Linked DNA regions of Canis lupus familiaris. The protein of the gene in region 2 purifies or fractionates together with the protein of the main gene of each other region. This does not show direct contact. Links are inferred from orthologs where the notes say so. Each region holds a gene or a part of one and is shown on either strand. Other genes may lie near its edges. The genes, in order: PTPN11 and SLAMF1.

Evidence for each region.
Region 1: the proteins of SLAMF1 (region 2) and PTPN11 purify together in Homo sapiens (affinity purification with western blotting; 3 studies listed by BioGRID and IntAct, with this or other methods). This does not show direct contact. The link is inferred for Canis lupus familiaris from reciprocal best matches to the Homo sapiens genes SLAMF1 and PTPN11.

The regions. Positions count from the first base shown.
Region 1 is NC_049247.1:10,376,771-10,380,590, reverse strand, and holds part of PTPN11 (tyrosine-protein phosphatase non-receptor type 11), read right to left. Parts: intron 3,291-3,820; coding exon 3,223-3,290; intron 2,713-3,222; coding exon 2,561-2,712; intron 1-2,560. UniProt on the Homo sapiens protein: Acts downstream of various receptor and cytoplasmic protein tyrosine kinases to participate in the signal transduction from the cell surface to the nucleus. Positively regulates MAPK signal transduction pathway. Dephosphorylates GAB1, ARHGAP35 and EGFR.
Region 2 is NC_049259.1:22,509,177-22,512,996, reverse strand, and holds part of SLAMF1 (signaling lymphocytic activation molecule precursor), read right to left. Parts: intron 1,304-3,820; coding exon 1,199-1,303; intron 1-1,198.

The DNA.
Region 1 (3,820 bases), on a different chromosome or scaffold from region 2:
GGCTACCACTTAAGCTTTCTACCAGAAGAAGGTACTTCTTAATTCTACCACAAAATCAGGTAGTAAGTTCATACATGGAATTAAATGGAACTACACGTTATAGGATCTCATTTTTAAAAATGAATAAGCCAACCCATCTTTTTTTTTTTTTTTTTTTTTAATTTATGATAGTCACAGAGAGAGAGAGAGAGAGAGAGAGGCAGAGACACAGGCAGAGGGAGAAGCAGGCTCCATGCACCGGGAGCCCGATGGGGGACTCGATCCCGGGTCTCCAGGATAGCGCCCTGGGCCAAAGGCAGGTGCCAAACCGCTGCACCACCCAGGGATCCCCCAACCCATCTTTTTAAACTCTGAAGGCTCAGATCCCAAAGAGCAGTTAATGTGCTAATAAGGACAATATTGGCACATATTGGCACCAAAAAGTACTGGCTGAACGAATGAATGCATGCATTCATTTGAAGCACTCTTCAAATAGGATTATCAGTGACATCCAGTTTCGATATTCTATAAGACTTAAATTATCAAGGAATATGTTCTGCTTTTTTCTACCCCCTCCTGACCCTGGGGTGATAAAGCTTTTTTTTTTAAGATTTTACTGATTTAGGGTAGCTCTCTCTGAATGAATAAATAAGTAAATCTTTAAAAAAAAAAAAAGATTTTACTGATTTATTCATAGAGACACAGAGAGAGAGAGAGAGAGAGAGAGAGAGACAGGCAGAGGGAGAAGCAGGCTCCATGCAGAGAGCCCGACGTGGGACTCGATCCACGGTCTCCAGGATCACACCCTGGGCTGCAGGCGGCGCTAAACCGCTGCGCCACCAGGGCTGCCCGATAAAGCTATCTTTAAAGGAGTTCTTAAATCCAAATTACATCTTGAGATTTAGGGTCAGAGAGACTATATACGGTAATTCAGAAGATCTCAAGTGCTGTAAGGCTGGGGAAGTCCCTACTAAAGTTGCCAAAACAAGGATAAATACCAAAACTTCTGAATGAAATAAAGAGAGCTTTTCCCCTAGCTTTTCCAAACAAGATTATATGCTTCAAGATATTCCTGAATTTGTACCAATAGTGTGCTACATTCTCTTTGTATTTATTAGGAGGTCTTTCTATATGGGCAACTTCATGTTTTATTCCTGGCCCAAATTCAGTATAATTGGAAGACAAATAGAAAATAGCCTATAGCAACCATCTAAATATTTTGTAACAATTACGATAACACCAAATCAGATTTAAAGCACTGAAGGTCAAAACTGGTACCATGTTGATTATTTGACCTTATATTTCTATACGTACACCGTTGCTGAAGATGTTTTTGTACAACGAAAACAATCTAGTGTTTTGAATTTTTTATTAAAGATTGTATTTATTCATTCATGAGAGACATAGAGAGAGAGAGGACAGGCAGAGGGAGAAGCAGGCTCCATGCAGGGAGTCCGACGCAGAACTCGATCCTGGGTCTCCAGGATCATGCCCCAGGCTGAAGGCGGCACTAAACCGCTGAGCTACACAGGCTGCCCCTAGTGTTTTGGATTTTAAGATCTTATTTATTTGAGAGAGAGAATGCAAACGAGCAGAGAGAGGAGCAGAGGGAGACTCTGCACTGAACACGGAGCCCAGTGCCAGGCTCAATCTCACAACCCTGAGATCATGACCTGGGCTGAAATCGAGAGTCAGACACTTAACCGACTGAGCCACCCAGGCACCCCATAATCTAGTCTTTTTATGTGAACTGAGAACCTACTAAGCTGACAGATATCTTACTTTGGCTAATGAAGCTTTTGATAATGTGGCTGCTATTCTGCTAGGCTAGAAGTCTCTCAATTCGCTGGCAGGTGCCATTCTGAGAAGCCGGGTTCTCTGGAAGGCAATACACAGGGTAAAGTAGGCAGATATCACTGCTGTTTAGACATTCCCCTGTCTGCAGCAGAGCAGTTGGGGGTGGGGGGGTGGGGGGGAGATGCCCAGATCCCCAAAGGAGCAGTCTCCTCATTTCCCTCATCTCAGCGTATTCTTAATTAACTCAGCTTTGTGTCTGTTATGAATAGCTTCAAATGGAAATGCTCCAACTCCACATTCTTCTTCATTATGCATGGCTTATTAAAATTGAAATTTCACTGTTTCCAACTCAACCAAGTTTATGGTTCAAACTGCTATGTGCTATGAAGAGTGAAGCATTTGTTTAAGAGATGGGATCAGGATAAAGATGGCCTGGATCTAAACAGGAACAGGCTGGAAACTTCAAGGCTTTCATTTCCAAACTTGCCATGTGAGAATCCTGGGATGTTGTCTGGGAAAATCCTAACCTTTCCACGTGGCAGTTCCCCAATCTGCCAGGCCAGGATGATAGCAGCTATCTCCAAGCTACCCTCTGCTGAAATACCAGAGTTGTGAAGTGGGGAATAGTTTCCAGAGAGGCCCTTCCTGGTTGGGAATGAGTTTCTCATTCCTGAACAGTAACAGCTATCTCTTAGAGGCCCATCCTGCTCAAAAGCAGAGTGTATCAGAGCTGCCCAGAAAAGAAAGTACAAATATGCACACCAGCCCCCTCCAGGATTGGTACCTGCTCTTCCTCAATCCTGCGCTGTAGTGTTTCAATGTAATGCTGGACAGCCATATAAATGAATCGGTACTGTGCTTCTGTCTGGACCATCCCTGACCTCTGAGACCGCACCATCTGAATGGTTTTGGGAACATCAATGTCGCAGTCAACACCTGCAAAGCAAGCACCATGAAGCATTAGGAGAAACTGTGGGGCCAGGATGAAGTGGTTTAATGCACAACTTTTAGCAGACTCAGAGATATAGTAAATGTAGTCTTTTTTTTTTTTTTTTTTAATTTTTTTTTAAATGTAGTCTTTAATGTTCTAACTGAACATGTTTCAAGGGCTACACTGCCTTCTGACTAATACAAATGATTCCAGAAAATGATCTGATTAAGTATCGGAGGTCAGGACTCTCCATCAGCACCACCCCAGAGACCACCACTGCATATTCAACAAAAGACCACAGCAGCGGGACCACGGCTCCTGGGCTTCATTTTATGTCAAAGGCTCAAATAGAATCACTTTTGTTCTCCTATAAACAACTGAAAGTCAAAGTCTTCAGCCCAGATTTTTAAAAATGTTTTAACATTCAAATTCTCTCCTCCAGGCTATTTTCACTAGCACTTTCCTTCCATAAACTAAAAAAGAACTTACAACTTCTTGCCCTCCAGATGACCCACCTTTCTCTCTGATGATGTCAATAAGGATATCAATCACAATGAACGTCCCTGTCCGGCCAATCCCAGCACTGTGGACAGAAGGACAAAGAGCAATGACGCTGGAGCCATTCATAGGGGTTTTGGACTCAAACCCACACTATTAATATGAACAGAAACAATGTCTGCTCTTGAGAGTATTTATAAGACTGCCTGTTTGTATTTGAGAATAGATTAGCTAAGGGCTTTGGGGTTAGTCCAATCCACACGTGGAGCCCAGCTTCTCTAGGACTTCCCAAGGCAAATCCCATACCTCTTTGACCTTCAGTTTCCTCATCTGTGAAATGCAGATAATGGCACATACTTTACAGGGTTGTTGTGTGGATCAAATGTTAGTAATGTATGGAAAACACTGAGCACAGAGGCCGGAGTGGAGCACATGCTCAATAAACAGTAGCTTTTAAAAAACTGAAAAAGTTTCATACACAGCTACTTGCCCAATGTATGGATGAGATTTGGTAAACTAAACTTCCCCCGGTATAATCATGAAGCCCAGACTTGGGTGCCAGGAGGCTGTAAACCGTGGTGAGATGCCACGGGCAGGGCTTCCAGAGGTCTGGGG
Region 2 (3,820 bases):
TCGAGTCCCACATCGGGCTTCCTGCAGGGAGCCTGCTTCTCCCTCTGTCTGTGTCTCTGTCTCTCTCTTCGCTCTCTGAATGAATAAATAAATAAATCTTTAAAAAAAAAAAAAAAAAAAAAAAAGAAAGGGATGGTGAGACCCAAAGAGAGAAGGATGGATTGCGGGGGTGGGGTGGGGGTACGATGGGGCTGTGGGCAAAGACATCTTCGAGGTAGAGGGATTCAAGAGGCAGAGAAAGACAGGAATGGAGGAATTCAGGAAGTTTGGCTGAAATGTGAAATAGACTATTTTTGATGAAGAAAACATCCCTAAAAATCTGCATTATTGCTTAAAGCTTTTTAAAGCCAGATTCGTGTGTTTAATTCCCCCATTGGCTGGGACACTGTTCTGAGACTAGAGCTCCAGGTGCAGACAGGGCGTCCTCCAGGTGTCTGTCTGTCTGGTAGGAACTTTGCGGCAGAGGGATAAATGCAGGCATTTCTGGGACCTTTTGATCCTCAACTATCTCATGTAATAGAACCCCACTGGACCCAAGATTTCAGCCCAGAATTTATTTCTGCCCATTTAGGAAAAGGAATAATTCCTGTCGAGTAAACTTAATCCATGCTGATCTTGCAGTGGGGGTAGCTGGCGAGGCTCCATCTGGGCTGCACACCATAGTCCCTTCCCCGCTCATGCCAGGCACACTCCCCGCCTAGACAGTCTGATGAAATCGGGGTGGATGGAGCACAGGCATGAGCCTTCTCACAAAGCTTCCCTGTGATTCTGTTATACACCTTGGACTCAAGATGCAAATCCCAAATATACACTTGGTCTAGGATCCCTTGGGGAGGTTGTTTTTTAACGTATAGATGCCTGGTTGCTCACCATGGACGTTCTGATTGAACAGAATCCTAGTAGAAAGCTCCAGGAATCTTTATTTTTAGCAAATATGCCAGCTGATTCTGATGTGGTTTTTGGACAGCTCTCAGAGAAACACTAGTGAGAGAGAAAGAGCTGTGTCCCCATGTGAGCAGCCAGGAAGGGTCTCCCAGAAGTCCCACAGCCAAGGCCATGGAGGATCCTGGTGACCCACTTGCTAAGGCCTGCCTCCCCCACTTCAGGACTGCTTTATTTTGGCTCTAGTCATGTCTCACCGTTCCCCTCTTCCACCTCTACCCTCCCTTCAGGGAGGAGGCTCAGAGAGATGCCTCACCTGCACAGGTTCTGGGGCAGGTTCTGGGACAGGTTCTGTGGCAGCAACATAAATGGTGGTGCAGGGGTCCTCAGCTGGCAAGGGATCAGGTTTCTTCTGAGTAGACTACAAGGCAAGCAAAGAAAGCGGAAATCAGCCGAGCAGAGTTGTTTCCATCCAATTCCCCCCACGGAGAACCACAAGATCCAGAGGCTTTGAGCTAGAAAACCCCTCAGAGTCAGCTGGTCCAGCCTCCTTCCCAGGTGGAAATGCTCCTGCAAATTCCCCCGAGTTCAATTTTCACGACTCTGCTTGGAGTCCCCAAGTGGCATCACGGAGTTCACAGCCTCGTGAGGCCGCCCACTTCACCGTGAGCATTTCCAGATGTTTTGAGTCTTCCTCGTGGTGCATCAGGACTGGTGTGGCTGTCACCAGGGCAGCTGAAGGGAACTGGATCTTCATAATATTTGTCTCAGTCCGGTCACCTCCAACACACTGAGTTCACCCCACCCCACACAGCTGTTCCTGCTATTTCCTACTAGGACATGGTTTCCCGTGACTTCTCTTCCCTGCCGGAGTGCTGAACTTACTAATAAGCATATTAGGTGTGCCAGTTTACAATGCTTCCACAGGTGCCACATTTGTCTCACATCGACTGTACACTAAATCCCATTGTTACGTTTCACAGATGGAGAAGCTAAGGCTCAGAAAGACTTAATATTCCTATGTACACCCAAGAAGCGTCAAAGCCAGGAGTCCCACGGAGGCCTCTTGGCTTAAAGTGCATGCTCTTCCCATCATGCTTTTTTTCTTTGCTTACCCCAACTTATAATGACCTCTCCTCTACTTAAATTCCCCAGATTAGTCTAATTCATACGTGATTGCACTTAACTGTATGATATTTAAAACCCTCTGATATATTTACATGTTGTTTTTTTCAAACAGACTAATTTTTCCTATATTTCTTCGCATTCCCCACAAATATAGCCCTGGGCATTTTTTTTTAATTCAGCTGATGTTACTTTAAATAAATGGCCTACAATCTATAAGACTAGGACAAAGTCAGTGTAGGGGTGAATTGAGACCACATCCCTGTGAAATGGAGGTAACAAGACTTATGCCAGGGAAATCATCCTTTCAACACACTTTGGGGGCACTGGGGTAGGATATTGCTACTCTCCATTTCTCCTGGATGTAGAGCAAGACTTGAAACATGTTTTCATGTGAGGAAACTCTGAATCCTGTCCTCTGATGGAGAAGGTAAGGAGTTGAAAAGGCTTACAGGAGGAAAGAAGACTCCAGGTGGAACATGATCTTTCTCTTTATATACTTGATGGATTGTCATGTAGAAAAGGAATTAAACTTGTTCTGTAGAGTCCTTCAGGTATAAACCAAGATTGGAATTTGGGGAAAACATTTTGGTTAAATATAGTGAAGATCTTTCTGACACTAAGAGATGCTCAAATGTGGAGTGGATTGCCTTAGGAGACAAGGGATTCCTCATTTCCAGAAGTGGCTGCGTTAGATCTGGGCTTCTCATACTTGAATGTGCATACGCATTACCTGGGCATCTTGTTAGAAGGCCAGTTCTGTTTCAGAAAATCCGGGGTAGGACCTGAGGTTCTGCATTTCTAATAAGATCCCGGGTGATGCTAATGTTGCTTGTTCACAGACTATATTTTAGTAAAAAGGAGCCAGCCAACATTATGGAAGTAATACTGGGAGGATGACTCAAGCAGTAATTGGGTGATTCAAAGAGATGACTTTCAAGATCCCATACAACTCATAGATACTATATGTTGGAGAAAAAATGACTTTAAGGAAGGATTACTTGCAGTAATGAGATAGATGAAGAGATTGTGAAATAATTTAATTAAGAGACCTTTATCCACCCCTGCCTGTCTTCCCATCTGAGAGGACTTTGATAGGCCCTGACTTAGAAGTACAGGAGAGAAGTCAGTAACTCATGCTTTTAATGTTTAGTTAAGTTTTGGAAAGGAGAAGAAGAGATAAAGGAAACCACCTGTAGTCTTACCACTTCAGCATAACATAGTTAGCGTGTTGTTAGATTTCCCATCAGGACTTTAACCTGGATTTAGATAATTCTTTTAAATATAGTTGTAATAACTTAGTGCATTATTGTATCTTGGTGTCTTCAGTTAGGGCATGAGTCCAGGGAACATGATTTACAAGAAACTCCAGGGGTATTATTCTCACATATTCTTTGGGAGTGGTGTTCCCCAGAGTTATACAAGGGAGCACTCCTGATAAGACCTACAAGGATTCCCTCGCAGATAGCAAGTGTGTGTTGCATAATTTTCCCTGTTACTCTAATCTTTATAACACTATCATATGACTGTTACAAATAAGAATAAAGGAAATGTTAACATTTAATCATTGTCCACATTGTTAGCCTTTATATGATCTCATATAACATTGCAAATATGAACAAAGAAAATTATAAAAATGTAAGTGCAAATGTGTATTGATGTGTAAAACAAAAATAATTATGTCTCCTATGTTTAAACATACATGAAATTACAATAAAGGCCAAAAAAGACACGTAAATCAGAAGGTGAAGTTAAAGGGAAGATGAAGTGTTGTGTAGGAAGAGAATAAATATTAGACTTTGGTGAGTCAAGG